4 linked regions of the Arabidopsis thaliana genome follow. The protein of the gene in region 4 interacts with the protein of the main gene of each other region in a pairwise test. Each region holds a gene or a part of one and is shown on either strand. Other genes may lie near its edges.

Evidence for each region.
Region 1: the proteins of GONST5 (region 4) and AT3G52640 interact in a protein complementation assay, tested with the Arabidopsis thaliana proteins (one large-scale study listed by BioGRID).
Region 2: the proteins of GONST5 (region 4) and p24beta2 interact in a protein complementation assay, tested with the Arabidopsis thaliana proteins (one large-scale study listed by BioGRID).
Region 3: the proteins of GONST5 (region 4) and RBOHD interact in a protein complementation assay, tested with the Arabidopsis thaliana proteins (one large-scale study listed by BioGRID).

The regions. Positions count from the first base shown.
Region 1 is NC_003074.8:19,513,406-19,523,475, reverse strand, and holds AT3G52640 (Zn-dependent exopeptidases superfamily protein), read left to right. Parts: upstream 1-2,931; 5' UTR 2,932-3,058; intron 3,059-3,133; 5' UTR 3,134-3,185; coding exon 3,186-3,270; intron 3,271-3,360; coding exon 3,361-3,474; intron 3,475-3,558; coding exon 3,559-3,673; intron 3,674-4,234; coding exon 4,235-4,317; intron 4,318-4,465; coding exon 4,466-4,542; intron 4,543-4,943; coding exon 4,944-5,021; intron 5,022-5,639; coding exon 5,640-5,711; intron 5,712-5,813; coding exon 5,814-5,887; intron 5,888-5,985; coding exon 5,986-6,118; intron 6,119-6,225; coding exon 6,226-6,297; intron 6,298-6,383; coding exon 6,384-6,503; intron 6,504-6,721; coding exon 6,722-6,793; intron 6,794-6,899; coding exon 6,900-7,040; intron 7,041-7,230; coding exon 7,231-7,847; coding exon of another isoform or gene 7,848-7,851; exon of another isoform or gene 7,852-8,133; coding exon 8,134-8,398; 3' UTR 8,399-8,603; downstream 8,604-10,070. Other genes in the region: AT3G52660 (RNA-binding (RRM/RBD/RNP motifs) family protein), read right to left, coding at 111-251, 325-441, 519-878; AT3G52630 (Nucleic acid-binding, OB-fold-like protein), read right to left, coding at 8,880-8,944, 9,034-9,292; AT3G52620 (uncharacterized protein), read right to left, coding at 9,920-10,069. UniProt on the Arabidopsis thaliana protein: Probable subunit of the gamma-secretase complex, an endoprotease complex that catalyzes the intramembrane cleavage of integral membrane proteins such as Notch.
Region 2 is NC_003074.8:2,452,614-2,458,981, reverse strand, and holds p24beta2 (emp24/gp25L/p24 family/GOLD family protein), read right to left. Parts: upstream 3,744-6,368; 5' UTR 3,514-3,743; intron 3,356-3,513; coding exon 3,158-3,355; intron 2,920-3,157; coding exon 2,733-2,919; intron 2,657-2,732; coding exon 2,549-2,656; intron 2,464-2,548; coding exon 2,330-2,463; 3' UTR 2,064-2,329; downstream 1-2,063. Other genes in the region: AT3G07690 (6-phosphogluconate dehydrogenase family protein), read right to left, coding at 323-600, 694-915, 1,117-1,750; AT3G07670 (Rubisco methyltransferase family protein), read right to left, coding at 4,365-4,451, 4,552-4,674, 4,766-4,897, 4,984-5,086, 5,190-5,362, 5,545-5,625, 5,727-5,798, 6,047-6,100 and 1 more. UniProt on the Arabidopsis thaliana protein: Involved in vesicular protein trafficking. Mainly functions in the early secretory pathway but also in post-Golgi membranes.
Region 3 is NC_003076.8:19,393,510-19,403,273, reverse strand, and holds RBOHD (respiratory burst oxidase homologue D), read right to left. Parts: upstream 6,234-9,764; 5' UTR 5,690-6,233; coding exon 5,062-5,689; intron 4,970-5,061; coding exon 4,807-4,969; intron 4,614-4,806; coding exon 4,565-4,613; intron 4,220-4,564; coding exon 4,106-4,219; intron 3,665-4,105; coding exon 2,855-3,664; intron 2,757-2,854; coding exon 2,661-2,756; intron 2,514-2,660; coding exon 1,718-2,513; intron 1,616-1,717; coding exon 1,506-1,615; 3' UTR 1,213-1,505; downstream 1-1,212. Other genes in the region: AT5G47900 (heparan-alpha-glucosaminide N-acetyltransferase-like protein (DUF1624)), read right to left, coding at 8,311-8,337, 8,417-8,560, 8,645-8,736, 8,850-8,928, 9,212-9,278, 9,371-9,462, 9,543-9,668, 9,745-9,764. UniProt on the Arabidopsis thaliana protein: Calcium-dependent NADPH oxidase that generates superoxide.
Region 4 is NC_003070.9:7,674,923-7,681,304, reverse strand, and holds GONST5 (golgi nucleotide sugar transporter 5), read right to left. Parts: upstream 3,098-6,382; coding exon 2,984-3,097; intron 2,888-2,983; coding exon 2,638-2,887; intron 2,543-2,637; coding exon 2,335-2,542; intron 2,153-2,334; coding exon 1,921-2,152; intron 1,830-1,920; coding exon 1,608-1,829; 3' UTR 1,462-1,607; downstream 1-1,461. Other genes in the region: LYM1 (lysm domain GPI-anchored protein 1 precursor), read right to left, coding at 1-616; AT1G21866 (Plant thionin family protein), read right to left, coding at 3,525-3,806; AT1G21864 (Plant thionin family protein), read right to left, coding at 5,459-5,740. UniProt on the Arabidopsis thaliana protein: GDP-mannose transporter that may be involved in the import of GDP-mannose from the cytoplasm into the Golgi lumen.

The sequences.
Region 1 (10,070 bases), on a different chromosome or scaffold from region 4:
AAAAAATACTTCTGTAAGTTACAAATTACACATGAACTTGAGATGAAAGTTACAGAAATAACTTAATAGACACTATAGGCTGAAACTTATCCAAGTTGCAGGAGACAAACCTTTGGGAGTTCGACAATTTGAACGCCTGGACCAATTCTATTTGCTGCTTTCTTAATGTCTGACTCCATCCAATTTCTAGGGACATTACCAAGAAAGAGACGATGCTTTGCTTGGGTAGTCGAACATTTTATCCTTTTACCCTATTGAATTACATCAAGTAAATAAACAAATAAGAGCCAGACAATTTACTAAGAATCAGGTCAAAGAACTTACTCTGAAGTCAGTGTTATTTAGAGTATCAATTGCTTCAGCAGCTAAGTCCTTACTTCTGAATGTTACAAATGCATACCCCTTTCCATCACCAGAATCCTTTTCCCTCATTATCCTAACCTGTTGATATCACACCAAACTCAGCACAAGATAAATTAAATCACAACCATAGTTTAGGTAAGAAGATGTCAAATTACCTCAGTAACTTCTCCTATAGATCCACAGAAGCCCTTTAAGTCCCCTTCAGTAGCATCAGTAGGAATCCCTCCAAGATAAACCTCTGAACCATGTGGAGGAAGTGCAAGAAGTTCAACATGCCTTTTCTTTTCTTCTTCCTCTTCCGTTGCAACAGCATCCTCCTCCTCCTCCTCTTCTTCCACTTCAACCTCCTCCTCTATCTCCTCTTCTATCTCTTCAATCTCCTCCTCTTCAACTTCTTCGTATTCAACTTCCTCCTCCAGAATCTCCTCAGGATCATTGTCACCATCAAGGTCTACCCTTTCCTCAGATTCCATGGAGTCATGAGCCTCAGAAGCAGCAGTCCTCGTCCTTGACATCTTAAATATCTAGAAAAGAATGCTTGCAGTACAACTGTGGAGGAGACACAGAAGCAAGAAGCAAGTGGGGAGAGAGAATAAAACCGAGGAAAGGTTGGAAAAGAAACAATAAGAGGCCAATAGAAAAGAAGAATAAGAAGTTCGAATTGACGCTTTGCCATAATGCGGCTAAAAAGGTGACAAACAAATAGACAAAGAGAGAAGAGGGCGATGAAATGCTCAACAGGTGAAACAAAAAAAGATAAGAAACGAAATGACCCCTGAGAGCGGATAAAAACCATGATATCATAGGCCTTGGTTAGATGCAAAGAAGGTTAAAATATTCATGGCAACAAGAAAGATAAGAAGGGCTAAAGTCAAAATAGTATCTTTGCTTAGAAAACTCCAGCTCCATGTTAGAATCTCCCACAACAGACATTGTTCAGAATTTGCAAGTGATATTTTTTATGCTGCCAATCTAACCTGTTAAGAGAATCCTCAGCTTATAACTACAATTCTATTTGATTATTTCACACAAATTGACCACAATGATAGATACAACCAAGAACAACCCAATACACATACAAAGCTATAACTCAGAGAAATGTCAATCAAAGGCGTGTTTAAGCTAACTTAGCAATCATTGGAACAAAAATGAGAGAAAGATTCAGTTTTTAATTAAGATAAGAAGAGTTACACAAATCCCAATTTTGGATCCCCAACCAAAAAAAAAGATTCACGAAAGGAAACGAAGAGAGGCGCAATGAGATGAAAGAAGAAAGAGCGAGAAAGTACCTGAGAGAGCTGCCGGAAGAAAACCCTAATTTTGAGAATTACGGAGAGGATGAAGAAGTGTCTATCTTCGCGCACCTCAGGTGTTGAAAAATATGTATATGTGTATGTTGTATTGATATGACCTAAAAGATGCCTAAGCGAGACTATCAAGGAGGTGTAGTCACTTTTTATTATGATGCGACCAATCTTATATTACGGCTTATTACCGATCTTAATATACGACAAATTTGATTTTTATGCAAAAAAAACTTTCAAGTTGGATGAGAATTTGCGCCTTATATTTTTTTTACACATTGTTTTCAAAATTAACACTAGTTTTTTCTTAATTAACATGCAGTTTATACATGATCTACGTTATTTGTTAAAATCACATATGGAATAATTTCTTTAAAATTATAGTTTTACCATATACAATATGTTTTTTTTTTTATCAATTTTTAGCCAAAACTTGCCTATATAATCTAGCAAATAATACCCTAATCAATCATAATTAGTCTACGATTTTGTAAAAATGAAGCCATAAAATGTAATACAAATTTCTTACAAAAAAAAAAAGAAAATGTGGAATGAAAATATTTTTTCTTTTTGTATAAACAACTAGATTATAACCCGCGGTACACCGCGGAGACAATTATTTTTTAAAATTAGTATATATAAAAGTCTGTAAATTATATTTATCTATAAAATATTTATATTTTATAGTTTACAATTGTTATTAAGTAACATCCTTCCAAACCCGTTCTGCCAAACCCGTCCCGTTAAAAAAATTTGTAGTACACCGCTAATTTAAAAAAAAAAATTACGGGATTGCAATTATATTTTAGTTTGTCAAACAAATTTTTGTTTTAAATAGTTGTCGAAATCTAATTCAAATTTTGGAGAAATAAGATTTAGTGAACTGATAAGAAATGTATTTATGTGCGTTTTGCTCATTTTAAGGGATTGCAATTGTATTTTGGTTTGTCAAATATTTTTTGTTTTAAATAATTTCCGAAATCTAGTTCAAATTTTGGAGAAATCTGCGTGATATATGGGATTGGAATATATTTGGAATATTTTTTGTTTGTTAATCAATTTATTGCTAAAAGAAAATAAATAAATAAAAGCCAGTGGCAGCCATTGTAAATAAGTTCCAAATCTAGGATTTATTTTACAAAATGGCTGCAAAAATATATATATAGATAGGTTCACTTAATTACTTTTAATATAATAAAATCCGCACAAAATGTGAATACCTCAATTTTTCTATATCTTGGGAATTTTGAAAGACATAAGAATCAACACGAAAAATCTCAGTCTTTGACTCAGACTCCCACCGCGTAATTCCGAGCTAGGTTTCCATTTCTCCGGCGAATCGGACCTCTCTCTCGCTCTCTCTTCCAATTTCCCCTTTTTTCGTTTCCCAGGTACTGCTTCTTCCGATTCTAACATTTTTTGATCTTTTATAAAATCGGTCACATTATTCTTGATCGTATCTGCAGCGATGATTTGCAAGTAGCTTCCGCTAATAATCGCAACTCTCTGACGGATGCTATGGCAATGGGACTTATTCGTCTTCTTTCTATAGCTTTTACACTTGTTCTACTTTCAATCCTTCCTCTTCATCTCTCTCTCGCTGGTGAGTTTCCTTTCCCCGGATAAAATTGGTGATGAAATGTATTAGTTGATAGAACATTGTAATCTGAAATTGAGGTTTCGTTTTGTGTAGATGAGATAACATCTATTGAATCTGTACCTGACCTTCAGAAGCTAATGTATGTTGCTGTTGATGGGTTTCCTTGTGTACGTCTTCTCAATCTGTCTGGAGAGATTGGATGTTCAAGTAAGCTTCTTTTGGGCCTCTCAGCTACATGATTTTTATCTGTTGATGAGGTCCTCTAAGTTTTATGTTTATAAAAATACTCAGATCCTGGAATAAATAAAGTGGTGGCTCCAATCATAAAATTAAAGGACGTTAAAGATTTGGTTCAGCCACACACTATTTTGGTTACAGCTGATGAAATGGAAGATTTCTTTACCAGGCATGTCTCCTTTTTCATTTACAAAACTTTCATGACCTCTATTCGATTTTGTTAGTGATCTCTTAATTTGTGGAGTAGTGCTTTCCCACTCGCTTGTAGTTCTCATTTTGGTGTTTTATTTAACGTCAAACAAGATTTAGCTTTTGGGTGCCAAATCAGCCTTTTTGGAAAGGCAATTACATCCTTAAGAATAACGTATATCTAAGAGTTTGTTTTCATTAGTACTTGAGTATTTAAGGCAAACACTTTTAGTAATCTTCCATGACAGTGAAACAACAGATTGGAATGAGTATACCCTCTTATCACCATTTTTGAAATCTGCTAGAAATGTAGTCACTTGGTTGTTGGTGCATGGATTAGGTGTTTAGTGGAACCAGTAATTCATTGGCTTTTTCCGCTTTATTTTCATTCGACTAACGGAAAGTAGGTATACCTCCAAACACTTTACTGTAGAACCCTGCAGTCTGGCTTACTTCTGGCATTGTTCATTAGACTTGTACATCGCTTAGACACTCTATTCAGTAGAAATAACAGGACCACTCCTCTTTGTGCCTTTTCCAGGGTGTCAACTGATTTGAGCTTTGCTAGCAAAATTGGTGGTGTTCTAGTTGAATCAGGATCTAATTTCCAACAAAAGTTAAAAGGTACTATGTCCATCCACATATTTATGATTCTGTCAACTTGAATGGCTAATTCCTTAAATTGTCTTGAGTTCTTAATTCCCTTAAAAATAGTACTTGATACTTCTTATCTATGTTGATGGCGTTAGTGTTTCTTTCTTCTTTATTGTAGGGTTTTCTCCTGATAAAAGGTTTCCTCAAGCCCAGTTTTCACCCTATGAAAACGTTGAGTACAAATGGAATTCAGCTGTACGGTAGCGTAAACTCTGTCTGGATCTTTGAAATTACTTCTTCCTGTCAACTCTTTTATAGTGGGTTGGAAATTGTTTCAATCAGTTATCACCAAATCCATAGTCAAGCATTTCCGAGTTATATGCTGTTTTCTTCTGGAACTAAACTTAACTACCTGCTAACACACAAATACCATAAATCCTTTTCTTATGGTATAATTTTACTGGAGGAATGCATGTATCTGCCTAGATGATCACTTATAAAGAAGTTCAAAAATCTGTTGCATATTTATCTACCTTAATTAAAAGATAGTTCCTCTTATTGTTATCTACGGAGAAAAAATGATTTTGATTCTTATGAGTAGTTGCAGGCGATAAGTCTCTAGCCATTGACCATTGCTAAAAAATGATTATTTGCAGGCATCAAGCATCATGTGGAGAAATTATAATTTTCCTGTGTACTTATTGTCAGAAAGTGGCATATCAGCTGTGCATGAGGTAATCCTTCAAACTTGCATTCTTTTGCAAATTTTAAATGTGTCTATTTGTGTTGTCAGAAAAGCGAAATTGATGACATTTTTAGAAATATGAGGAAATGAACTCAAGGCTTAGAGAGGCATTATGACTGTTGGTCACTCTTAAGAGCAGTATTGCTTGATGAAAATATGGCTGTAAAATGATGCATGAGATATGTATCTCCAAGGTCATATGAAATGAATACTCCTAGTTTAAACTGAATTAGTCTGCAGAAATTTTTCTAAGCATTGATTACCCATTTTAAATAAGAATACAAATTTGGTCCTGGAATGTTTGTCTCATCCAGCTGAAGGCAACTCCCAGCTGCATCTGTAGATTTCAAATGCATGTTGCTTTCCATAGCCTGTAATTGGACTCAACCATAGCCTTTCCATTTGTCTTGTGGTAGTTGCCTTTAAACTGCTGGTCAACTATGTCATTCTATAGTATGTTGTTGTCCTTACCAGATGAGGTTCTGTCAAGAAGCTAGCTTTATGTTTCTGTTGTGTTGGTAGCAATCTAAAGTGTATAGTTTATGTGGATAGCTTCACTTTTTTCAGGTTATCGACTACATATTTACATCCTATTATATTTGCGCAGATCCTTTCCAAGAAAAAGATGAAGCATGGAACATATACCAGTGATGTTGCTGAATTCAATATGGTTATGGAGGTATATGGCTTTAGCAATCTTGCTCACTGGAACGTTAACCAGCTTTATGGATCTTCACTTTGACTTAGATTATGACACCCAATTCTCTATTTTTTGTATTAGACTACCAAAGCTGGAACACACAATTCGGAGGCTTGTTTGCAGGAGGGAACTTGCCTCCCATTGGGCGGATATAGGTAAAGATTTAGGTCTTTATTACTGTCTGATCTAATGACATATGAAAACCTTTTAAAGGATACGTTTCGTTTTCTAACAACTTTGTTATGAAGGACAGTGTTTGGTCCTCGCTTCCACCAATCAGTGTTTCGTCTTCCAACAATCGCAAACCAGTTGTGCTGACTGTGGCCTCCATGGATACTGCATCATTTTTCCGTGACAAAAGTTTTGGTGCAGATTCACCAATATCTGTGAGAACTTGCTATTTTCTGCTTTTGGGTTGATCTAGAATACATTTATTTACTCTTCTTATTCTTCTTTTCCCGATTTATTGCTCAACACGTTCTCCTTCTTTCAGGGTCTGGTAGCTCTTCTAGGAGCAGTTGATGCTCTTTCTCGAGTTGATGGTATTAGTAATCTCAAAAAACAGGTGCCAGTGTACCATGTGATTTAGTGTTATTTCACGCTTTTTGTTGTTTGCAAGCTTTAATACATGTAAATCGTAAATGAATGCAGCTTGTGTTTTTGGTTCTGACCGGAGAGACATGGGGTTACCTTGGCAGCAGGAGGTTCTTACACGAATTAGATCTGCATTCAGATGCTGTCGCAGGCCTTAGCAATACTTCGATTGAAACGGTAATCATTATTGTTTTGGTCTGACAAAGTTGATAGAGACAGCTAGCCTTATGCATGAAATCCCTGTGGAAAAAGTTGCCTGTGTTTCATCGTTGCTGCAACTTATTTGTTTCTTAGTAGCGCAGAAAGCAAGTTTAAGTGTTCCTTGTGAAATTGAATGTTCACAATTTTCTAAATCTAAAGATCGAATTCAGATTGCTTCTTCTATTATCTAACAGGTGCTTGAAATAGGATCTGTTGGAAAAGGTTTAAGTGGAGGGATAAACACCTTCTTTGCTCATAAAACAAGGGTGAGAAATTCCTGATATCCTGAAACTCTTGCATAATTCGAATTCGTTCGATAATGTGAAAACTGTCATAGGCGACTTAACCTCCACTTTTGGTGTTCTGCTTTAGGTTTCTTCAGTTACAAACATGACACTGGATGCTTTAAAGATAGCTCAGGATTCACTTGCATCAAAAAACATCAAAATTCTTTCAGCAGATACTGCAAACCCTGGAATACCCCCATCCTCCTTGATGGCTTTCATGAGAAAGGTACAATATATATTCCAAGTAAATAGATGGGAAGACAATTCAAATGTGTATTCGCACTATACTCTTTGCATATACTTCACCTTCAGTTGATCATGAATATGACAGGAGAAGTATACTTGCTTACTATTATGTGATTCTGAACCAGATTGCCTAGAGTGAAAAAGGTATAACATCATATTCATTGTTGCAGAACCCTCAGACTTCAGCTGTTGTACTTGAAGACTTTGATACCAACTTTGTGAATAAGTTCTACCATAGTCACCTCGATGACTTGTGTAAGAAGAGTCACAGCCTGTCTTTCTCTTCTTTTCGCTCCAAACCCCATTTTGCACTTTTGATTCCTTTCTGGTGTTGTATTGCAGCAAATATCAACTCCTCGTCTGTAGTAGCTGCTGCTTCTGTTGTGGCCCGAACACTTTACATCCTAGCAAGTGACAACAAAGATACAAGCAATTCAGCTCTGGGATCCATCCATGTCAATGCTTCTTTCGTTGAAGAGCTTCTAACCTGTCTTTTAGCTTGTGAACCGGGCTTATCTTGCAACTTGGTAAAAGACTATATTTCACCGACAAACACTTGTCCAGGCAACTATGCTGGCGTCATCCTCGGAGAACCTTCCTCCAAACCTTACCTTGGTTACGTCGGTGATGTTTCTAGATTCCTATGGAACTTTCTGGCAGATAAAACATCTGTCCAAAAGGGAAATACAACCTCAGTTTGTTCAAAAGGAGTCTGTAGCAAAACTGACGAAGTGTGCATCAAAGCAGAGAGCAACAAGGAAGGAACATGTGTTGTCTCCACAACCAGGTAAACTCTGTGCTTGGAAATTGCAATTTGGTTTGCATGCTCAAGTTCTCTCTTATGTCTCAAAATGAACCAAAATCTTAAGTCTGGTAGGCATTTTATAGGAATTATTAATTAGGATAGGCTTCAGAAGTGGAGTGTTTTTAGACTTGGGAGAAAGTCTATCTTTAGTTTGTTGACCTTTGAATTGAAGCTATCATCATTTTCTTCTTCCCCTGACCTGATATGTTGTATGTGACCTAACCAATTTGCTGTCTGAGCATAACACATTAAGTTCTGGTTTTGGCAGGTATGTTCCAGCTTATTCAACTCGATTGAAGTATAACGATGGAGCTTGGACAATTCTACCACAGAACTCATCAGATTCTATGGGGATGGTTGATCCAGTGTGGACCGAAAGCAACTGGGACACTTTAAGGGTGCATGTGTACACAGTCCAGCACTCAGCATACGACAATGCAGTCCTCGTTGCAGGTATTACAGTCACAACGTTGGCTTACATCGGAATTTTGGCTGCTAAGTCAATCATCACAAAAGCCTTGAAGCAGGACTGAGACTTGTATTTAATTCCCTCTCCTCTCGGCTCAAAATTACTTGTCAGTTTCCGTAAGACATTGCCTAACCAGCAACACCACCAATACCTTAGTGGTAGAAACCTTTTTTCTCAACCAAGGTTATTAAAATATGTCTTTGAGCTAATTCATGTTAAATTCTTTATTACACTGGCAAGAAATTTATAAGAAAAAAGTTTGCTTTCACAAAATCCTATAGATAAAGCAACAATACAATTCTAAATCCAGAGCAAAATCTTAGCTGCCAAGAAGAAAATAGTGTTTTGTTTTGTGTTTTGGTACCTCAATTAACAAAACAGCAATTTAAGCTTAGTTGTGATAGATTAAGAAGTTGTTACATATACTAAGTAAATAAAATCATAGAACCAGAAAGTGGTGAGACATCAAATACATATAAAGCATAAGCATCTCTACAAAATGTTTTAATGGAATCGCTTCCATGATCATAATCATCATCACAACATTAGATGAACAAGTGCTTGAACTCCCCATTTGCTAGCTTACATAGCTCGTTGTAGTTCTGTGTATCTGCAACCAAAAATAACAACCAAAACATCAAAACACAACTCAATAGCAAATCTGATAAACTCGACACAGTAATGGAATCACTAAATTACCAAAAGTGTTGCCAAAATTGGTCCAAGTTTCAGCTCGAATAGCGTTATCACTCTCTGCAATTCCAATAACCTCAAGGTAAGTAGTAAGAGGAGAAGGAGGAGACGATCCTCTAACAACGATCTGAAGATCATCAGTAGATTTGCCAACCACAGATCCAATCTCTGAACCAGTCACTTGAATCACAGTTCTGACTTTTTGGCCAATGAATCTCCTCAACAAAGCTCCGTTCACAAAAGCTGAAGGACTTGAAGTATCCATTGCTATCTACTGTTCAAAGATTCAAAAGCGAATTGGTAAATCAGTTTCGTATTCAATAGCAAAGATAAAGGGATTAAAAATTTTGAAAACCAGGAAATCGATTTTGAGAAATTCAATCGAAGGGAAGAGAATTGATTAAGAAGATTTACCTTGTTGGAGAAGATGAATCGTTCGTCGGAGTTGCAAATGATTAGCCCTAACTTCTGAGGACTTTCTAGGCTTTGAGAGAGTTTATGGAGAGAATTTGGGCGGGAAATGAAAAGCTTCACATGGCGCCAACAAATATGAAGAGAAACAATGGGACCAATCGTTTGATTATGGGCCTGTATGTATTGTACCCATTGGGCCTTTTAGGTGTTCCTTGGATCGTTGAGTTTTTTTCACAAAACCAGAATTCGTTTATTTTTGATGTTGGTACAATTAACACATTCATTAAACGCATTATTCAAACCATAGTTTGAAAAAAACAAAAAATGGTATTCAATTGCATTATTTAATTTTAAAAATTACATATAAAAAAATATAGAGATTTTAATAATTATTATATAATGTCAATAGTTATTTTTTTCTTAATTTCTTATGTAAGAAAAGTTACAAAGGAAAATTGAGAAATTAACTTGTATAAGATCATTTATTCTCTTTCAATTTCTTGGTTATAGCAAAAGCGGCTCCTGCGACGGCCACAATCACTGCTGATACTATGATCGTGTTTTTAAGCGTTCGTGCCCCATCTCTCTTTGCCTTTGCGTTTTCCCTCTTTTCTACGATTTTTTGTACC
Region 2 (6,368 bases), on a different chromosome or scaffold from region 4:
TATAAATAATCTAGGACCACAAGATAACAACAGTGTATGACAGAATTTTGTATTTTCTCAGTGGCGTTTAGATTCAATCTCCAAAATTCTTTAGTTTCTTTGAAATGTGCAATACTCTTTACTGTTTTATGCTATAAACTGGATTTTGTGAACATAAATTTACATTATACAGAACAAAGTTCTTAGTAATTTTGCTGGTATGGACACTTGCTATTTCGACTCAGATGAAAGTTACAAATTCGACAAATTCTCAATATCAAACATACATAATTTAAGGCTAATTTAACACTTAAAACCGAAGTCATTGAGATATATGGAGTACCTGAATCATTCCCTTGCCTTTGATGCTGTCACCCATTTCAAGGCTAAGTTCTCCTTTTGCAAGTTTCTGGCCGTACCACGCATTACGACCTTTCAGTAATGTTACATAGGTATCCGCAAGCAAAGGCCCAGCGAGTTTCTCTGGCTCCTTGGCCAATAAATGAGTAATAAAAATCATCTCTGAAGTACAATGCGCAAAGTACACTGATTTGCTGGTAGCACTTTCCTTAGTCAGTGTAGCCACCATTCCTGTGGAATACAAAAACGCCAAAACAAACACTAGCTCATAAACTTTGACCTCTGATCACCAGTTCCAGTAATTTACTTTGAATCACTATTATTCAGATAACCATTTAAGACACCTGATCTTACCTGCACCAATGGCATAAACATTCTTCAAGCCACCCATTACTTCATGAGTAATGAGGTCACTATTATCCCAGACTATGAAATGAGACTGCCTTAGAAACTTTCCCAAAGGCTTCCTCCATTTTTCAGACCCGCAAATCCGTGCATTGGCGTACTCTTTATTGTATACCTCGGAAGCAATATTAGGTCCCCCAAGGTAGAGAATGTTCTCAAGAGGAATACCAGCTGCAAAGAGAATATGACAAGCAAACTGTAGAATTTCCAATGACAACAACTACTGATCATACACTTCAACGCCAACACAGTCAATACTCATATAACCTTAATAAAAATAGAAAGTTTCTCTACATCAACAAAAATACTAAGGAAGATGATATCAAATATTCATCTAGCAATCAGATAAAAGACAATGGGAAGTGAATTTACTCGCTCGATGGATCATTTGCGTAGGAGTAACAATCCGAGGATGAGGCTCAAACTCTGCTTCCACACCTTTAGCCAAAGAGATAATAACAGGAGCATTAACCCTCTCTTTCCAATACTTACTAATCTCATTGAACACCTGAAACGTCTCAGTTGATGGTAAACCATTGATGACAATATCAGCATCCCAAACAGCTTCTTGAAGATTAGTCACAACTTTCAAAGGACACAAAGGAGTCTCAATCATATTCAAGCAAAACCCATCTTTCAATATCTCATCAGCATATAAAACCCTATCCCCTAATCTAGCTTCCACATACTTGAGATAAGCACACCTTCTTATCAACCTCCTCAACAATTCTTCCCTCGAATTAATCACTTCGAACAAATGTTCAGCTGTGGCTTTATCGATTGCTCTGCCTCCTCTTCTCCAGATTCTCACACTAACTTTGCCCCTAAACTTACCGTAATTTTCCTGCAACATTGCAATGAAAACGCTTCCCCAAGCACCAGCTCCTACACCAACGATCCTTAACGGGTCGTCATCAGCTTTACCCATTACTCTACGAATCTCATCAAGCCTTTCTTCCACCAATCTGCTCGGAACTGAATTCGTCTCCACCAAATGATCCATCATCAACAAAGCCTTATGATTTCTCTTTCAGTGACTCAATCCACTAAAAACACAAGCAAGCTATGGAACAAAATCGGACTTCTTGTCGGATTTATCAATGCTTAAAACTGGAGACGACTTTTTCAGGAAAGTTTGTGTTTTTATTTTATTTTCAGGTAACTTGTACGACGACTAAGAAAATGATAGCTGGCTTTATCTATCTACTCTGGGCCCAACTAACTTAGTCTAGTGTCCACTTTTATAACCTTCTCTATAAGAGTTCGAATCCAGTTAAGGGATTTTGAGTACTTTTGACACGTCTTATTCAAAGCTTGATCACATTGTTATTCTCTTTGTTTTAGGGAAAAAAGGTTTTAAGGAATCACTATTTTCTCTATTGAAATGAAAACCTAGCTTGTGGAAAAGTTGTCTGTTAATAAAGAGAAAAAAAAGAATTATCATCACGAGAGGATTAGTTCTTGAACATGGGAGAAAGCAAATCTTCCAATGAACTACGATCTGTCTGTAAAAAGGTTTTAAGTAAAGATTCCCTGGTACATTTTAAGGCAAAATAAGTTCAAAGTCATAATAAACTCGATACTTTTAGACACGAGACATGCCGAGTTTGCGTTCAAACAAGCGACGCAGAAGATAAACTTGGAGAAAACTTGCCCCAATCAGTGCAAACGACTCGAACAAAGCTTTGTGTACTGCTCTTTTGCTCATGTTCTCGTTCACTGCACAAGGAACAACCATATTCAAACCATCACTCAATATTGAAGTGAGAACAACAAATGTGGTTTTTAGAGGAAAAAATGTTACCGATAGCTTGACGATCGGTCTGAGCTTCTAACCAATGTTGTTCAAATTGGATGTTGTAAAGAGCCTCCTCTAACTTTGATATTTGCTCCATCAAGGGAGTGAAATGCTCTGCACAAAAACCATCTTCAGCTAAATACCTCATCACCAAACGAAACTGAAACAAAACTAAACAGATAATCCTTACCGTCCTTTGCGTGTTGATCGTAGTATGCAAAGTGACCAAGCTGTACATCGAAGTCAATGGTTTCATGATAAGGAGACTTGTTTGTGAAACAGAATCTGTAAACCCCTTTTTTTTGGACAACAAAATCATGCTTTGCGCTTATCTGCTCCCTGAAGTCATGAATTTGTTCGCCTGTTGGGCCATGTATCTATTCAAAATGCATCCAAAATATATCAACAACAACAACAACCACCAAATTAACCAGATGGTACAATATAACAGCTTTAAAGAGTAACCAAATTCTTTATCAATACATACTTCAAATTATCTACCAACATTAACAATGGAAATCCTAAGCATTGTTTAGGAATACCAATTCTATTGATTTTCGACGATTTTGCAATGTAGAATGTAGAAAAGTTCAATTAGAAGAAAAAAAGTCATACCACAAGATCTACACCATCCTCGTTAAAATGCCATTGAGAGTCAGACTTGATGACGACGAAAGAGACATGAAGCGTATCACCTTCATATTCAGCCTTGTGGGAGAAACATTCTTCACGGTCTATCACGAATCTAATCCCTAACGTAGCCTGGAAGCTCCATAAGAGCCCTAGTAATACGATCGTACCCTTCAAGCTCATCTGCCACAATAATTTCGAATTATATCAAAGCACAAAACGCAATTCAATCGTTTAGAAGAAGAATCGACTAGAGATTCCAAACCAAACCAAATTGAATTGTTCCAATTTCGATTCCTACGAGGTGATTAGGTTTGACACAGAGAGTGAGAGGGATTTACCTTCTTGAGAAGATCAAATCTGATGATTGATTGATTAGATCGATGGAAACTCGATCTGGTCGATGAGTGTTAAGAAAATTTGAAGATTGATCGGAGTAGAAGACGGTGGAGAGAATTGGATGAGAAAGAGCGAGCTCGTTCAGAATCGGACACGAAGAAGCCTGTTTTGACTCAAGGGGCAGTTTCGTTACCCGACAAGATCATCAAACTATAAACGACGTCGCTTGCTTACTCTTTGGGTTATTTGGTCAGCGGGCTTACGTGGCGTTATATCATTGGAGATAAAACATCTTTAAACCATTTAGATATTGCCACGTCATATTATGTCGAAAATGGAAACTCCATAAAATCAGTACGTTTCATTAGGAAGACTTTATAGGTTTCTCGTTTTTTACTTTGCCACAGTGGAATGTTTACTTGCTTTGCTAAAGAAACAAATGTTCTGACGTGTACCATCAGATTATCTTGTTTGCGGTAACAAGGAGTGTGAGTTTTGGTACGGTTTTCGTTATGAGTTGTAGTCAGATATATTCTTAATTTTCAAATTATCTTTGTTTGTTGGATCGATTATTTCAGTTCGATTCGGATCAAATACGAAGAACATGTTTCTACCCTTACTCTCTCATGCGTTTCCTTAATTAATCAATTTAGGTTCAGGTTTTGAGTTTATAGAAAATGATCAAATTACATATATGGCTGGACCAATATATTCCTATACGAGTGAGACAGATCCAACCATGCCTACACCAACGTTCAATTTTTTTGTAATAAAAAACTACATTTTTGGTTGAAGCACAACGAGGCCTACCTTTGATCCATCTTAAAGCTGTTGAAATGTCCTCATTCAACATTCACTTGAAGAAGTTCCTAAGTCCACTGAAGAGCCGTAGAGCCTTCAGCTCACCACTTCTGATATCTCTCAGTCTCCTCCTCAGAATCTGACCCAAACAAAACAAAAAAAAAAACACAGATTCCACAATATCATGGATCGATCCACAGACTCTTATCTATCGTATTGGCTAGAAAGTTGTTCCTTACGTATTGAGCACGGTACAGTATCCTGCGCTCACTAGTGGACAAGTCTACAGCTAGCTGTTTCAGAAACGCTTTTCGGTTCAACTGTTTTGGAGATGTTATGTCCAAATCCATTGATCCACTTTCCTACAATTAGATAATTGACAAAGCAAACTATAAGCAGATGGAGTGAAAATTTTCCCACAAAGAGAGAGAGATGAGCTGTTTTGTTACTTACCTTTAGAAATCGGCTGTACTTTGATATGCTTGTTTCGCATGAGTCCAGTATGAACTGCAATGCGTCTTCCTCGATTTCAGGATATTTTAGATCATTCTTTGTTGATGTCTTATTTGAAGCAGCTTTCGCCATCTGAAATGGATAATAATTGATAAGAGATGTATTATGAATTTGGGAAGAATTGGATGGTAAAAAGGGTCAAGATGGAGTTGCCAAACCTCTTCAAAGTTGTTTCTCATATCTGGAGGGCTCACCACAAGATAAGCATATGCCATTAGCTCCATTGGCCAACCCGTTATCCTTACGGGAAAGCATTGAGGTCTGCCAGAGAAAAGTTAACACAAACAATCAAAACAAAACTCAAGTTAATCAAGAGAGATCTACAAATTTGAGAGGGGAACATGGATGGTGGAGAATGGAATACGTCGATAATCCGTGTTTCTTTAAAGCATCCAGCTTTTCCTCGTAACACTTATCGTTTTTCCTAAGTGATAATGCTAGTTCTACTGAATCACTAGGATTGGTTCCTTCTCTGGGAACAAACCCATAAGATAACAATAGCTCTCCGTTAGATTTATTCCCATAGGATATGAAAACCTGCACAATGTCATGTTACTGAAACATATCAGAGACTTCAGACAACATTGGTTCCACTTTGGACTGACTTACTGAAGCGCTAAAAGGCAAACTGTGTAAACGGGACTTCTTTGTGTTATACACTGACTTATATTAAACTTCAATGCTCGCTCAGGTTATCTGAATGAATTTATCTTATTTACCTGCTCACCTGGTTGATATGGTCGATCTGTTGTAAAGACAACTCCTTTTGAAGATTTATCATAATCCAGGAACGTCTCAACCTTTCCAAGCAGATTTTGAAATATTGATTACCATAAGTCAATCATGCTTTCTGATTAGGAGAATCTAGGAGCTAATTGGTCATAAAGATAAGTAGAAGTACCTCACAATTATGATTAAGCATATCTGCCCATGGAACTAAGGCAAATCTTCCATCCATAGAAGGCAACCGCACCTGTGTTAGAGAAGCTTAAGTCTGAATTGCAGAGACAAGCACGCAGCACACGGAAGGAAAGAGAAACGAAATAATGCAATATTTTGGTTGTGAGTGGTCATTGTTCAAACAATAAATTGTTGGAGACAGCTATATTATGCAGAAAGTCATGCTAAGATTAAAGAACAAGTCTGTTGTTTCAAATTCAAGACATCTAGATTTACATCAATTATCAAGATAATGATTGCTTATGATACAGTAGTTCTTACCAACCGTGAGAATAGGATTCCAAAAGACCACTTAAATGTCTCATCATTGAAAACCTGCAACCAAGAAATAGCACACTCATATACATGTGGACAAAACAAATTTAAGCTCAGATAATAAAATAGAACCAACACTAGTTGTAATTACAGAAGTGCATCTTATTACATGTCCAAATAGTAAGCTGTAGCAAAATGGGCGTATACCAGTTACCTCTTTAGGGAAAAGTTGAGGGTGTTTGGAAAATATCCTGCTTCTTAGATCTTCATAACTGAGGAAAAGAAAAAGGAAAAAGACATGAGCAGTGTCTTGCAAGACATAATCATC
Region 3 (9,764 bases), on a different chromosome or scaffold from region 4:
TGAAGGAAGGATCTGCTTTGCGGAATATGTTTTCTTCCTCCTTGAGACCGTACTGTGTAAGATCTTTTAAGTGTTACAATATAGAGCATTATTTTTTGGCTTATATGTCACTCCAGGCCTTAATCATATGTTGGTCCATTTGTTTCATTCGCTCAGACTCAACAGTCAGAATTCATGATCTCGTTAGCAATTCACTTTGCCAATTAGAGACACAAGTTTATGTTGTAAAACTACACTTAAAATGTGTTAAAAGTGTAATCTTGACATCACTAAAGTAACTATTGATACACTGTGAAATGCAAAGAAAATTGGAAGCTAGATAATGCACAAAATAGTGAAATATGAAGTAGAGTGTTATAATATTGAGTCTTGACATCACACTCCAGACCCGGCCTTGAGTTTTACAAGCCTACAAGTGAACAATGAAATGGGCCGCATAAGTTTTATCTATTTTAGAATTTTGTTGAAAAAACAAAAAAATTCGGTCTCACTTGTCTCAAAAGTCAAACCCATGAACTGATGATGTACCCACCATAATTGAACCACTAGACTTAAAGAAAGTTTTCTAGAAAAAAGCCAAACTCAAATTATATTATTAGCAGCTGCAAACCTATGCTTCGCCTGGTTGGCCCAAGGGCCGGCTCTACATAAGTCTCCTTCTTTATCTTAATTTGACGCTCAAGCGACCTATTCTGTAATCAACCATAAACTTTGTCAGTTTTCTTAGATTGTAGTAGGTTGGATTTGTTTTTGAACTTTTAGTTTACCTAAGGAACAAAATTAATCATTCGTAACCATTTTAAGGAAACAAACTTAACCATTCATAACGATTGTTTCTGATTATTATCGATAGCAATTGTATTTAATTATTTTGATACTTATATCAAGTTTTGATTATATTCTAGCTGCATAATTTTAAAGTCTTTTAAACTATCCCAAGTGCAAGGCAAATTAAAGTAGTGAATAGGGTATCAACCCATAAATAAAGACGTAAACGCAAGAAGACTTATGAAAAGCTAAACTAATCTAGCTAGAGTTGTGATATAAGATGCTTTTGAGTTAAGAAATTATTTGTCATTTTAACTAAAAGAACACTATTAATAACATATAAACAAGTTAAACACGCAAATGCATTGGTGAGCAAATAATCAAGACGTATCTAATGTTGATATCTCTATTCATTATGTTAAATGAGTAATGGGTATTGAATATCAAAACTATCTTTAGTTGTTAATATTCGAATATAAGTACAAAATAATAGTACAGATAACTCCATGATTACATGTTTACAACACCAAAGCTGTAACTATATAAACTTCTACTATCTTATACTTAATTTGGCATTAAACTAAGTAGTGAAAAAGTAACCAACAAAACGGTAGGGATATAGAAGAACAAAAAAAGATAACTCAGATAATTTTACATAAAAATGAAAAGAATTTAAAATAAATATTTATTTGTATAGTTGTTTCTTGTTTTATTTTTCTACAACGTATATAATTAATCTAGAAGTTCTCTTTGTGGAAGTCAAACTTGGTAGTTGTCTTTCGAGAAAAATCCAAAGCTAGATTTTTTAATTCCTTTATCATTCCTGGCATTCCACAGTAGAAGACTCCTGCAATCAAAATTCATATTAGTATTTAGTCTAAATTCATCACTTTATTAATTATTATACAACATCACGTACATAACGAGATTAACGGTCGAGATTAGTTACCTATTCTTTTGCCGGGATGTTGAACAGCGATCTTCTTGTAGACTTGTCTCCAGTTAGGTTTAGCGAAGTGGGACTTGACACGTGTACCCGACACAACATCCACACCGTTCTTAGCGTGTTGCAACGACTGAAGCATGGCAATGAGAGCCACTCTTGCATCACCTTCCTCGTACACACTCGTGCAATAATTGTGAAGCTCGATGATTCCTTCCTCGTCTAACTCCGAAATCTCGTCCATTATTCCCTTGAACCACTCGAATGATCCTTGTTCCCTAGTCACCCAGTAGAAATAAGCTTTCCTTGTCTTAAACCCTTTACTATTGTTGTTACTGTTATTGTTCTCAATGTCGCTGTCGCGGTCAGGACCTTTCATGTTGTTGATGATGTCCTTAAGGATACTGATCATAGGCGTGGCTCCAATGCCGAGACCTACGAGGAGTACCACGTCGTATTTCTTGTAGTCTTGTGCGGGAGCACCGTATGGACCGTCGATAAGGACCTTCGGGAACGGGAGGTTTCCATCTCCTCCGTCTGCTCGGAGAAGACCGCTTTTACCGGCGGTAGGAGGTTTGCAAACCTCGGAGAAAACGGTCCTGAGCTTACGTGTCCAGTCACCGAGAGTGCGGATATGTACGCTCAGGTAATCGTCTCCGGGAGCTGATGTGATTGAGAAAGGATGCCATTCGAATGGAGATACGGCTCGGCAGTTCACCAACATGAACTGTCCACTTTTGTATTTGAATCCTTGTGGCTTCGTCATGTGTAGAGACAACACGTTCCCGGGGTAAACAGCCACCTGTTGTTACATATATATAGATTAAGTTCAAAGGCAATTTTCAAACTTTTATCAAAAAGAACTATAAAATAAGATGGTTTAAAAGTATTAGTTGAAATATTTCTTGAAACATAAGGTTTTCAAGAGATAAATAGAAATATATCTGACCTTGATCATCTTAACCGGTTTGATGCTTGATCTGAAAGCACGGAGCAGCCTCTCCGATGCATATAGAAGGATGGGTACAGCAAGATACATCCATGTCTACAAGAATCATACAAACAGGTAATAAATGTTATTAACCGGAAAAAGGAAAGAAAATAAGAAATTAAAACAGATAAAATGAGGTTTGAAGAGAGTACCGTTTTCTGATACCAAATCTTTGTGAGGTAGAGCTTGATACCATGGACAATGAGAAGAGCATAAACAATGATGAACAAATGGTGGGTGTACCAAAAGGCGTTGAAACCGGTAAGCTTCTTGAGGAAGTTAGGTAAGTTAAGCTTGTTACGTCGGAACCAAGGCGTCGCGAGTGTAAAGGCTATAGCCATTAGCACAACCATCACAATGCCAGTCCATCCTTCCACTCCTTTCACAAACCACCAGTAGCTAGTCGGTTGATCCCCAAAGTATTTTTCCATCGGCTCATAGGTGTCCTCATCCGCGGCAATTAAACGTGGAAAATCACACGTTAAATGGGCACCCGCATGGAGTAAAACACCGACGACTATCCCGCTTGCAATAACCTTGTGGAAGTTAAGACTATCATCAAAAGGAACGACAGTACCAAGCTTAGTCTTGTTCCTAAGCCAAGTGATGGTGTTTCGACAAACAGGCAACAATATGAGAGCCATGTTGAATTTGAGAGTCTCGGCGCCTCCTTTGGCGACACAAACGCAATAACCCATGACACCATAGGCAGCTTTGTTCTTGTACTGAATGAATTTATAAGTAAAGAGGCCACCACAGATGCCAAGCCATAACATCATTATCCATAGTCTCTGCCAATTGTCAAGTATGAAATATTTGATTTTCTCCGACCATCTCACTAAAGGGTTGCTCTCTTTTGCCGGTCTAAGCTTCTGACTTAACATCTGACTAAGTATCCTGCTGTCTCCCATCCGCACCGACTGGTTTGGTGCTTGTAATAGCAACATTTCCAAGTTTTCGATCTGTTTCACCAATGTCCATATCATATAATTAACTAAAACGTTACAATAAAACATTAATGTTCCAAACTGTTTTTCTTAAAAACACTTTTCATAGGTTTCTCCAATAATTAAAAAACAATATACTATCGGAAGCCGCCTAAGACTTTCTAAGCTTGGATTATAGTGTTAGTTCATATATTTTACAATTTTATTGGTCATTTCTTCATATCGTAACCACTAACCACCCATTGTCGAGATTTTGTTGATTGGTTTGGTAAAAAGTTCAAGATGGCCCAATAAGTTGGAAATTAAAAAACATCATGGTGACCCAATTTTGACCACTAAAGACTTCTAGAACGTTATGTTTTTCCACGTTTTTTCTAGTATTTTAAGAGTGGTTAAATTTACGACGTACATAATACCATTAGTGTGATTGAGTGGGTGAAAGTGGACCACACGTACCATAATAAACCCAGCATTGTCTGGGTCCAACTCTTCCATTATCAGTGCCGCATATTCTTTGGCTTGCTTTTGAATATTTGAGAGCTTGTTTGCAGAAGCACTAAGACTAATAATCTGCAATAAATTACCAACAAATTAGAAAACAAAAGCTAAAGTATTTGAAACATTAATAACCTAAGCTAAAGTAACAAAGACTACTACTCTATCTATCTATTACCATTTTGTCGTGTTCACATGAAGTTAATATATTGATGATGTTAATAGTAAACGTCAGCAGATAAAGTCAGTGGGGATTTGCGCGTGGACAAAATTGTCAAAATAATCAACCAAGAATAACGTATAAAATAAGAGAAAAAAAATTCAACCAGGAATATGAATAAATATAAGATAAAAAAAATGTATAAATATAATAAAATATTTGAAAAAGATAATTATTGAGTGGTGTGTGTGTTTTCTCACCTCAGCCACCTCTTCTTCTGTTACTCGCCCATCTTCATCTTTGTCCACCCTGACCAAACAGTGATGTCATATATTAGTTACAAATCCACCAAAACTCCACAAATGATTAATATTACTACTTTTGGTCCTTAAATTCTGATGACCGTTTAATTTTCATTAAGAGTCAATATTAAACGACAAATAGTGATTACGCGTTATATATTTATTGTGGGTTAGGTGAAGATATGTAAAAAAAAGCTTACATGTCAAAAAAGACTTGGAGTTTGGCATCAAAGCTTTCGTCTGAGATCTGTTCCCAGAATATCCTAAGCTGTTCCTTTGTGATTGCATCGCCGGAGACGTTATTCCGGCGAGCTAATGCTCTAAAGAGCTGGTCAGCGAAGTCTTTAGATTCCTTATTCATTCCTAGAGTAAAAAACAAAACAAAAATGAGACTAACACAAAAATGGAAACATATAGTACTAATAGAATTGCTTAGTAAGAAGTGATTTACTTACCTAAGCATTCCCAAAACTTGGCAGAGAGTAAGAGGCCGTTGGAATCAGCGGAGAGTTTATCGAAACGTTGGTCGACGGCCGGCCATGCGGCCGTCTTGGTGGCAATGAACTTGAGACCTTTGAGTGCGTGGATGGCCGCGGAGCTCGTGCGGTCAAACCGCCGCACGGCCGGGGAGGGACGTCTAGAGAACACGCGGCGGAGCTCGCGGGAGGCGTTCTTGATGCGTGAGGAGGTGCTTCGGAAGAAAGATAAGGAGGTGGTGTTGTTGAGGCTGCTCTCGAGAGTCTTCTTCGTAAGAAGGGCTAGCTCCGGGTCCTCCAGGTGGCCTCCACCTCCAGCTGCTTGTTGGACACTATGGACGGCCACCGAGTCGTCCCTGATGTCTAGCGTGATCTCCACGTACTCATCGTCATCACCACGGCCGCCAGCAACACTATTGCTTCTCTTGGGAAGATCGTCGGCGAATCTTGCGTTTTTCTTGGACGCACGTTTAGGCCGGCCAAGCGGACCGCTAAAGGCACCACGGTCGCTAGCGATGCTCTCCGTGTCCGAGTTGGTGTCCGAGTTAGCTCCTCGTAGAATCCCAAGTTCATGGTCGTTACTTGAATTGCCTCGTCTCATTTTCATCGAATTCGAGAAACCAAAAAGATCTCACTAGATTTGGCCAAGAAAACCACAGAGATCTATACAAATAAACACCCGTAAGGTTACTGTATTAGTTGATAGAGAAAAAATAACCGCTCTCAAAAGGTGTTTGATTTTTGTGTATGGAAGAAATTGATTTTGTTTAAAATATATTTATAGAGTGAAGGAGGAATAGATGAAATAAATGGCATGCAAATTGCCATTCTTCTGTGCTAAATCAGGGAAGGTAGTGGGAAACTATGGATGGACCGCTCCGGTCTGGTCAAAATCCTTTACTGACCATTTATTTTGACTTTTTTTTAATTTCCTTTTTTTTTTGTTCTTCTTCTATTCTTCATTTCTTCCTTACCTTTTTTATTTATACCGTGTCATACATTTCAAACACCGAAGTCATTTATACACCAACCCCGTGTGTGAATTAACAAAGAAAAACAACCCCGAGTTATGTCAAACACCGAGTCATTTATAAACTTTTGTTTGAAGAACTTAAATTGTTATTTTTCAATGTATTTGGCAATCATGCATATAGTATCTAACTTTTCCATAAGTCAATCTATAATTCATTTTGGATCGTATATTGATGATACTATATAAATATGTTGCTTCTAACATTTGGCTTGTAAACTGTATTCAAATGTATATCTAACCTACTGTACCGAACAAAAAATTATTATGGATTCTTGTACAAACTCCATGTGAGATGTATTGTTCATTTTCTGTTTTTTCTTTTTTCTTTTTTGATAAAAACACATTTCTGTTTTATGTAAATATGAAAGTCAATTAGCTAGATCATCAAACTATAACTATCCAGTCTATCATCGATGACTTATTTTTCGTTTGAATGTGGTAGTCTTAAAGGAACATCGTTCATGTTCCATAATGGATAAGAACAGATAAGCGATCCGATCGCTAAAAAGAGTGGACATGCTTAAGTTTATTTGTCTCTTGGGCACTGACCTTCTACTTTGGTTTCTTGTTTGGAGTATACTTTAGACAAATAACACAGTAATTAAAATGACTTTTGAAATGACAAAATGAGATTTAATTAATAAAATGAAAATTTTATGTTATTTGAGGTAATTCCTCTACATAAAGACAATTTGAATCTATTAGCATTATACAAACTAGCGGAGATATCTAAAGTTTATATTGTCTGCATCAATACGACTTACTTTAATTAGTATTGAAGTATTTAACTTAGTCATTCATAAACTCTATTTTATATATACTAAACACAGATTCTCGTAATAAAAATAAACCTAAGTGTATGCATAAAAACGGAATTAGGGTATAGATGCTCACTTTTGAGCTTTTATAGTTTTTGATAACAAAATTATAAAGCGTAATACATAAACTAAAATTCAAAGATCATAATTAAAAATTATGTGTTATTTTAGTAAACACTAGTCGGATAGTGTTATATTTAATTGATATAACAAGATTTTTGTATTGCTAGAGGTAATATTTCTATATATATAAACAATTTTGTAATATATTAGCATCACAAGAACTAGAGGGGATATCTAAAGTGTATTTTTGACATCAAGAAGATTTTTTTTCTAATATTGAAGTATTTTTATTTAGCTATTTTTAAGAGTAGCATGAAATAGAGGGCAAATGAGTAGTATAAAAACATAGAGTTATGCAGGCATCATGAACAGATGTTTTGTCTGTTAACCAAAACTTCGACGCCGCCCACGAGAAAAGTCAGTTTAAGGGTCTTAAATAATTTACCAAATGGAAAAGAGAAATAGATACATAGATGGAGACAAAACATATGATATAATTGAGCACATAGTACAAATCGATGGTTTGTTTTCTTTGTCCCTATTTAAATAGAACCCGATGAGAAAGTAAGGTGGCTAAAGAAGATATATAGTTATTATCAAAATAAGAAAAGAAGAAAAGTTAGATAGTCTAATAATCGCTGTTAATTAATTAGAAGACGAACCTTTGACTTATCTCCACTGCTATCAAAATTGTGGTAGTTCACAAATAAAATGACCCTAACCATACACTATTCACACGTTACGGCTACATATACGTTGTACTATACAACAAAACTGCAAACGATGTTTATCATCACCATACGGAAGATCATGACGCTTATTGGTGATCATTCTTTATCTTTTTTGAATGTTAAATTTCTTTAACGAAAAAAATGATCACTGTTAATAACGGCGTAACAAGGTTTATTTTTCGTAGTTAAAAATAAAATAGTATTGCTAAAGATGATTATAATGGATATGAGATGAAGGTATGATAAGACTAAGAGAGCAATTTAACAAGTCTTTTGATTCAGTTGTGCGGTAGCTAAATCGCTAAACCATCACATGTGCGATTGAACATTTGTTTGAATATAATATGCTTATGTTGGTGGCTCCCACAACTTGCCAACATGTGTATTTTCGACAAAAGGCTTTGCTTATATAGCCATGAAGTTTTAATTTTTCTACGATATACCGTATGTTTACAAAAGTATAGCATAAATTGGATTCCATATGGGATGTGAAGATGAAGATGGCATTTGTTTATTTCTAACAAAAACAATTAAGGTTTTGGTTGATGAAACTTATTTCTTCACCTCCCTTCTCTTCTCTTCTTTACTTTCCGATTCCGATTAAATGAAGCTGCAAACAACAATAACATTTTTGAACTCCAACACAAAACGTTAATAACGGTAAAAAAAAAAACGAAAGTAAAACTTACGAGATTGTTAATGGGGTTCTTCCAGTAGAATCCATGAATGATTAGAAAGACAAGATTGCAAGCAATGAGAACGTAAATCGGTAAGGCATGTATTCCCATCCACTCTAACACAAGGCTTGCTCGTTTGTATCCATAAACGTCGACCTGTGAAGATAGTGAGAGATAGATTTACATTTTAACCATGAGTGATGCTTTCATTAGGAGTCTCAAGATAATAGCAAACCAAACCATTAGGTATATCGCGGATAACAAAAATCCCGAGGCCCCTGAGGTGACACACATGTAACTCAATGTGTATAGAGGTTTATTTAGATGCATTCCTGCAAGCAACCAAAAAAACGAATGACATGTGATTTACTAAGGTATTTTGATCTTGCAATGAATTAGGACAACAAATGATGTAAATGAGAGCTATAAGAGTCAAGGAAGATACCAAAGAGGTTCAGTGCGAGACCTAACATCAGAAGACAAAAAGAACGTAAAATCCATTGATTCAAACGCTTTTTGTGATCCTGTAAAAAGTTAATTACATATAGCAACAAGTAAGTTTCTGATAAGATAAAAAAAAATGCTATACAACTGATATTCTTATTCCAATTCACCAAAACCATAGGGACTAGACTAACAAGAGACGCTTAACGTACGTCTTATGCTAATTGAAGGCTCGTTATAAACCTGTCCCTTACTACCATTTCTCTAACCAAAACACAACAGCTCTAATATGCTACATAGAGGAGACATATAGCTAAGAGTTGAGCAGAGCAGCCGAACTTCTTCATAAAAAGATATGTTTACCTTGAAGTGGATGATAATATGGCCATAGTGCAGACCCACTAGACATGTTACGGTGGCCATCAACGAACTACAATTAAACAAACTTGCAAGTTATTTTCTGAACAATGATAAAACACAACTTACTATTTAATATTTTTCTTGGAGAGTAGAAGCAGAGACCTTAAGAGGCCTTCGGGGTCAAAAGGCGCTTGACACCAAGAAGGAGCGTCTGGAGGTAATGGCCCATTGTTTGGATAATTTATACTGCATTGCTGAGAATATATAAGAGATCAAATGAAATGGACATAAAACAAAGATTGAGAAAAACAGGACTTGGGTTAAAATCTAGAACCTTGGTTCGTGCATATACAGGTTTTCTGTACAAATGCTGGATTCCTAGAAACATACGGTCAAGCATTCCAACTGCATTACAGCCTGGTCCAGTGTGACCTCGTACCCCACATTTCACCTTCAGATTCTAAACAGTTTCGATATTATGACCGCGACAGAATATGTAACTAAGTTGTTGTAGAAGGAAGAAACCATTATCTAACCAAGAATGTTGTCAATGTTG
Region 4 (6,382 bases):
TAGCATTCACATTCATCAAATCAGTAATAGTAGTCGAATACCTCCTCGCGATTCCGACCAATGTATCAATCTCCTTCACAACATACGACAAATAAACAGCCGGCAAAGAATTGTCGGTGCCATTGAAACAAGCACAAGGCAAGGGGATAACAAGACTAGTCCCAACATCAAGCAGCGACGGGTCATTCACCGAGTTAGCTTCCTGGATCTGCTCAGCAGAGACCAAGCCTCCGTAAACAGAGTCAGCAATCGATCCTAGATTGTCAGAAGGTCGGGTTTTGTAATGGGTAGAGACAGATTTTCTGATTCCGTCGACGCAGGAGCAAGTGATTGGGATTTTGAGGAAGAGCTTCGAAGGAAGGATATGGTTTTCGACGTCTGGGTAAGAGATATCGATGGCGTTAGCTAAAAGGATAGAGATTGGGTCTACTTGGAAGAGAGATGCGACTTCTGAGACTTTGAGGTCGGTGTAGAGTGTGTAGCCGAGTAAAGCGTTGCAAGTGTCGTTGCTTGAGCAAGGCTCGATTGTTGATTTCGCTGTCGCTGTGAAGGTTAAGCTCGAAGCTAGGATCAAAGAGACGAAGATTAAGAAGATGGGTTTTTCTGGGATTTTCATTTTTGTGTTTAGGGTTTTACGAAATTCAAAATCTCCTAGGGTTTTCAATTTCTCTTACAGGACAATGACAGAGAGTACAGTGAACAGAGTTTAGTTTGGTCTATGGAAGATGAATCTGGAGATTTTTCCAGGGGTTTGGTAGAGAGAGAATCTCTCTGTATCTCTGGTTTTCTTCTTCTAGAAAGAGAAGAAAAGTTTCACCCTTTTTGAAATGGAGAGAGAGAAGAGAAGAGAGGAAGAAGGAGACAAGTGTGTTGTACAGAGTGAACAGAAAACGGTAGCTTTGCGATCTCCAAGACACAGACATCTTTTTATGCTGTTTGACTGTTTTGCCCTTTTCTCTTTAACTCCTTTGACCTGGTTTCAGACTACTGTAGCATGAAGATTTTTTGAAAATTGATTTTTTGTAAGGGAAGGATATGGCGGTAAATTCAGCAACATAAGTTGAGGCCCACTTGAAAAAGCCCATTTTTTACTTTTGAGAAGCTAAAGCAACGAATTTGATGAGCTGTTTTGAGAGCTAAAATATTCGTTTCCCTTAAACACCGTCTTAAGCTCTTTCATGTATCAAGGCGGGAAAATGAATAATCATTTCTTATATATTGTCAAATTAACTTTCTATTTTCATCTTCTTTCAAAGATTCCCAAACTTGCACCATTTTGTCATGTATTAAGTCTCTGATGTTAGAACATGGCACTATGGCACAAACAAAATTGGAAGGAAAAATTAAAAAGCTGAGGTAAGTGAAAGCACTACCATAATTGAATACAAAAATGGGCCTGCTTTAAGTATCTTTGTGGTCATCTCTGAGTTGGTTTGATGAGGATAGATAATTTAATACAATGGAAACAAATAAAATGGCACTTCTCTAACTTCTCTAGTTTGAGTAAAAATAAACATATAGTTAAACTATAACTCTCTTGTGGATGTTCAAGATCAAATCTAACTTCTTTGTGTGCGTTCAATAGTCTAGTGACTTACCGATGATATTCAAATTTTACTCTCGAGTTTATCATTAACAAGAGGGATCAGTTCCATCTTGTTCCTTGGGGTACGAGGAGTCCTAGGAGTTCCGGGTTGTTGCTGAGAAAGCATGTGTCTTACATATCCGTAAAAGGTGCAGCCCACAAGTGTGATTCCGCAGCCAACAGCATTCATCGGTGATATCGGGTTTCGAAATATCATCCATGAAACAAACACAGCTACTGCAACCTGCAAATCACATACCATCCATCAAACATCTGAGTTATTGAAACTAGAATATAAAGATTAATGTTATGTGGTTTGGGATTTGTTCATTTACCTTAAGGTTTCCAGCTACATTGAATGTGACTGCTGTTGTGGATTGAATGACATAGAAGATGGAGAAGTTAAGACAGAAAGCTAGAACACCTGAGTTGAAAAGAATTATGAGAGCCGACCATGGAGATGGATGTGCTTCAAACCAATCCAAAATTCCATTCCTTTCTAGTAAAAATGCAGGTAACCCGAGAATCATGGTCGCGAAAGGCGCCATATAGTATACCGTGTTTATGCTACATAGAGAGACATGAAAATGAGGAGGACACAAACACTCAGTTCCATGAAATATGAAAAAGCAAATCAAGTATTGGACTATGAGAGCATGGCATGTCATTGAAACCAAATGTAAGTTTCACACATTCAACACCTATCATGTGAAACTGAAGATCAAAACCTCAGGAAACAGAACATTGACCTGTCAAATTTGTATCCATGAAGAAGAGATTCTGCAAGAATGGTCTTTGTAGAGGTAGCTAAACATCCAAACAAAGCAGCACAGAATCCAAACACATTAAAGCTAAGTTCTGTAATAGAAGTAAGAAGAATCCCTCCAACAATAGGCACCAATGACGCCCAAATACGCCAATCAAAATATTTCCTCCATACCAACCACTGTAACACAACTGCACTCAAAAAACCATTACACAAAAACCAATCAGAACAATAAAAAAAAATCACTTTATTTTGAAAAATTCTCAATCTTAAAAAAACCCTAAACCTGTTGTTGCAGGAGTTAAAGATTTGATAGTCTGCATAAAAGAGACAGGAATGTATCTAAGACTAATATTCCCCAACACAATGTTGATACAGAACACAAATGACATTGGAAAAATCCTCCTCCACCTATCTTCTGGATCAACCACAATCAAAGGTTTAAGCTTTAAGACTTTAATCACAATGTATGCTCCAATCGACGAACATATGAAATGAACACATGAAACTGATAATGGAAACTTGAAATCCAGTTTCTGCAAACAAGGAAAGGTACCAAATTTCAAACGCAGATCAGATAAAACAAACGAAAGGCTAAGTCTTTAATGATAAAAGTAAGAGACTTTTTAAACCTGAAAGATCCATTTGTTCATGATGATAACAGTAACGTTAAAACCCCACCATTGAAGAATCGATAACAGAGATCTGAACATAGTCCATTGACGCCACAGACTTCCTTCCTCCATTGATGGGTTTTAAGAAGTGAGTCAGAGAAGGATCCAAAAGATGAAACCTTTAGGAATGTGGCAATGCAAAAGCTAAATAAGAAACCCTAATTAAAGCGCCAAGAGAAACAGAGTAACGGTTCTGTTTTATATGCGAGAATTCTCTTTTTCTCTTTAGTAAGTTTCCGTGTAGTTAAATGCAAATATGTTTATGCAGCATAAATTATGCTTATACAAGTTACCAATTTTCAGTTGTTACATATATAAATATAAATAATTAGATTTTTAACAAATTTTCCGTATACAAGTAAATATTGTTAAAGATAAAAAATTATGGAAGAAGGATACATAAATACTTGAAATATTGATCGATACATTGATACAAAAAATCATAAATATATAACTTATGCATAGAGAAAGGAGACAAATTTTTTGTAATGTGGATCAATTAAGCGGTACAAATCCAGCTAAATGCTCTGCAGAACCTTTTTATAGGACCACCATTACCTCGAGGGACGATGTATCGCTCGTTGTTGAGAGGATCACATATAATCTTGCAAGGGTTGGCACATATGGCTGGAGTCGCTTTCTTTGATGCTTTCATGCACTGGTTCACGACACAATTTTTGACACACACATCTATCGAGTTGGAATGAGCTGAAAACATCATTGCAAATAAAATTACAATCATCAATACACTGCAGATTTTCTTTGACACTTGAGTTGCCATGTCGTAAGTATTGTGAGTCTGAAAATCTTAAATTGTAATGTTTTTTTTCTTTCTTTTTTCTTTTTGTTGTGGTTTTGAAACAAGATGATTTGGTGAGAATGTTGTGTTGATTATATAGTAAAAATAGTTTTAGCTGATTTTAGAAGTAACTAACTATTAGGAGGTCAACTTGTTTTCGTTTCTTTTTCTTGGCAAATATATCGATTGATTTCTGGACAACTTATATGTATTATACTGTTTTGGTCATCTAAACAACTATTTGCATGCTATGCATAAATATAGTAACACTAATTGCTCATATTTAAAATATTAGCCTGTACAACACATATCTTAGTGGCATTTTCTTCTTAAAATTCGTGACCACGTTTTTGTTACGAAAATCGTAATATGCACATGACATGGTAAAGAATACATACCGTTAACAAGGAATGATTACCTTTCACTGTACATAATTTTTTAAGATCATTGAATTTATCATTGGACACTAAAAATCTTTCCTTTTTTAAAAATGAAAAATAACAATTCCACCAAAAGTATCCTAAAAACTCAATGCCTAACTAAATCACATTGTTATTTTTCATGTGATTTAAATATTTTGGCGATCATCGGGGTACATTCTTTCTTTCAAACCTATAGTTTTTCTTAAATATGGTGAAAGATTCATCAGGAACAAAAAGAATACGTAATCCTTTTGTTTTGTCTATAATTTTTGAGTTGAATACATATATATATATATATAAGTAGGAAATTATGTACATTTGTTTATAAGAAAACGTAAGGAAAATATGTACTTTTGTTTATGAATAAGTAAGAGGTTCTAGATACATACAATACACTAAGGCGGATTAGATCATTTAATATGACTCCTCCCAGGTAAATATGTACATTTGTAAACATAATTTTCTTTCATATTGTCTTTATCGTCATTTTCCTCCATGAAAACACAATAAACTTTTTTTTCATAAAATCTATAAATTCAAGACTAATATAATTTGATTGAAAGTATTTATTTTAAAAATAAAATCCATATTTGTTTAACATCTTCAGTTTTTTCCATAAAATTATTAAATTCAAATGCCTACATAATTCTTTTTTACAACTCTATATTCTCAGCTTTCTTTCTAAAACAGTTGCACTTGTTGTAAACATGATATATATATATATATATATATATATATATATTTTTGAATATAATTTAACATTATGTTCAAAAAAAATTAGCTATACAAATTATGGAAACTTAATGCCTAACTAAATCACATTAACATCATATATTTTAGTTATTTTATTTTTAAACTATATTGTTTCAACTTTATTGGCGTTTATAACTTAAAATTTGTTTCATAATAAGTTTTGGTTATGTTTTTCAATGTAGATGTTTGGTTAAAAATTTAGTTTTTTTTAATGTCTTCACGAATAAAAAATCATAGCATATTAATAAAAAGAAAAACAGAAATTAATTGTAATTATTTTAATTTGTCTGAAAAACTTTAAACAAATATAATTTGAAAATGAGGGAGTATTAGGTATAATAAAATTATGGAAGAAGGATACATAAGTACTTGAAATATGGATCAATACAATGATACAAAAAAACATAAATATATAATATATGCATAAAGAAAGGAGACAATTTTTGTAATGTCGATCAATTACGCGCTACAAATCCAGCTAAATGCTCTGCAGAACCTTTTTATAGGACCACCATTACCTCGAGGGACGATGTATCGCTCGTTGTTGAGAGGATCACATATAATCTTGCAAGGGTTGTCACATATAGCTGGAGTCGCTTTCTTTGATGCTTTCATGCACTGGTTCACGCCACAATTTTTGACACACACATCTATCGAGTTGGAATGAGCTGAAAACATCATTGCAAATAAAATTACAATCATCAATACACGACAAATTTTCTTTGACACTTGAACTGCCATGTCGTAAGTATTGTGAGTCTGCAAATCTTAAATTGTAATGTTTTTGGTGAAACGAGATGATTTGGTGAGAATGTTGGTTGATGTGGATGATTTATATAGTAAATATAGTTTTAGCTGATTTTAGAAGTAACTAACTATTAGGAGGTCAACTTTTTTTCGTCTCTTTTTCTTTGGCAAATATATCGATTGATTTCTGGACAACTTATAAATGTGTTATACTGTTTTGGTCATCTAAACAACTATTTGCTATGCATAAATATAGTAACATTAATAGCTCATATTAAAAATATTAGCCAGTACAACAAGTATCTTAGTGGCATTTTCTTCTTTAAATTCGTAACCACGTTTTTGTTACGAAAATGGTAATGTGCACATGGTAAAGAATGCATACCTTTCAATTGATGGCTCGATACAATACGGTGGTGGAACTTGAGGTAAAAGAAAAAAAAAAATGGAAAGAGTGAATTTCTACGTGGAGAGGGTCAAATCGTATCTAGCTATCATACAATAAACTGAAGAATTTAATGTCCAAAATGATAAATAGAATGATATTAGTCCAATCTGAAAGTCTTTATTTAAAAATTAAAATTCATATTTCTTTAACAACTCCAGTTTTCTTCCATAAAACTATTAAATTCAAAT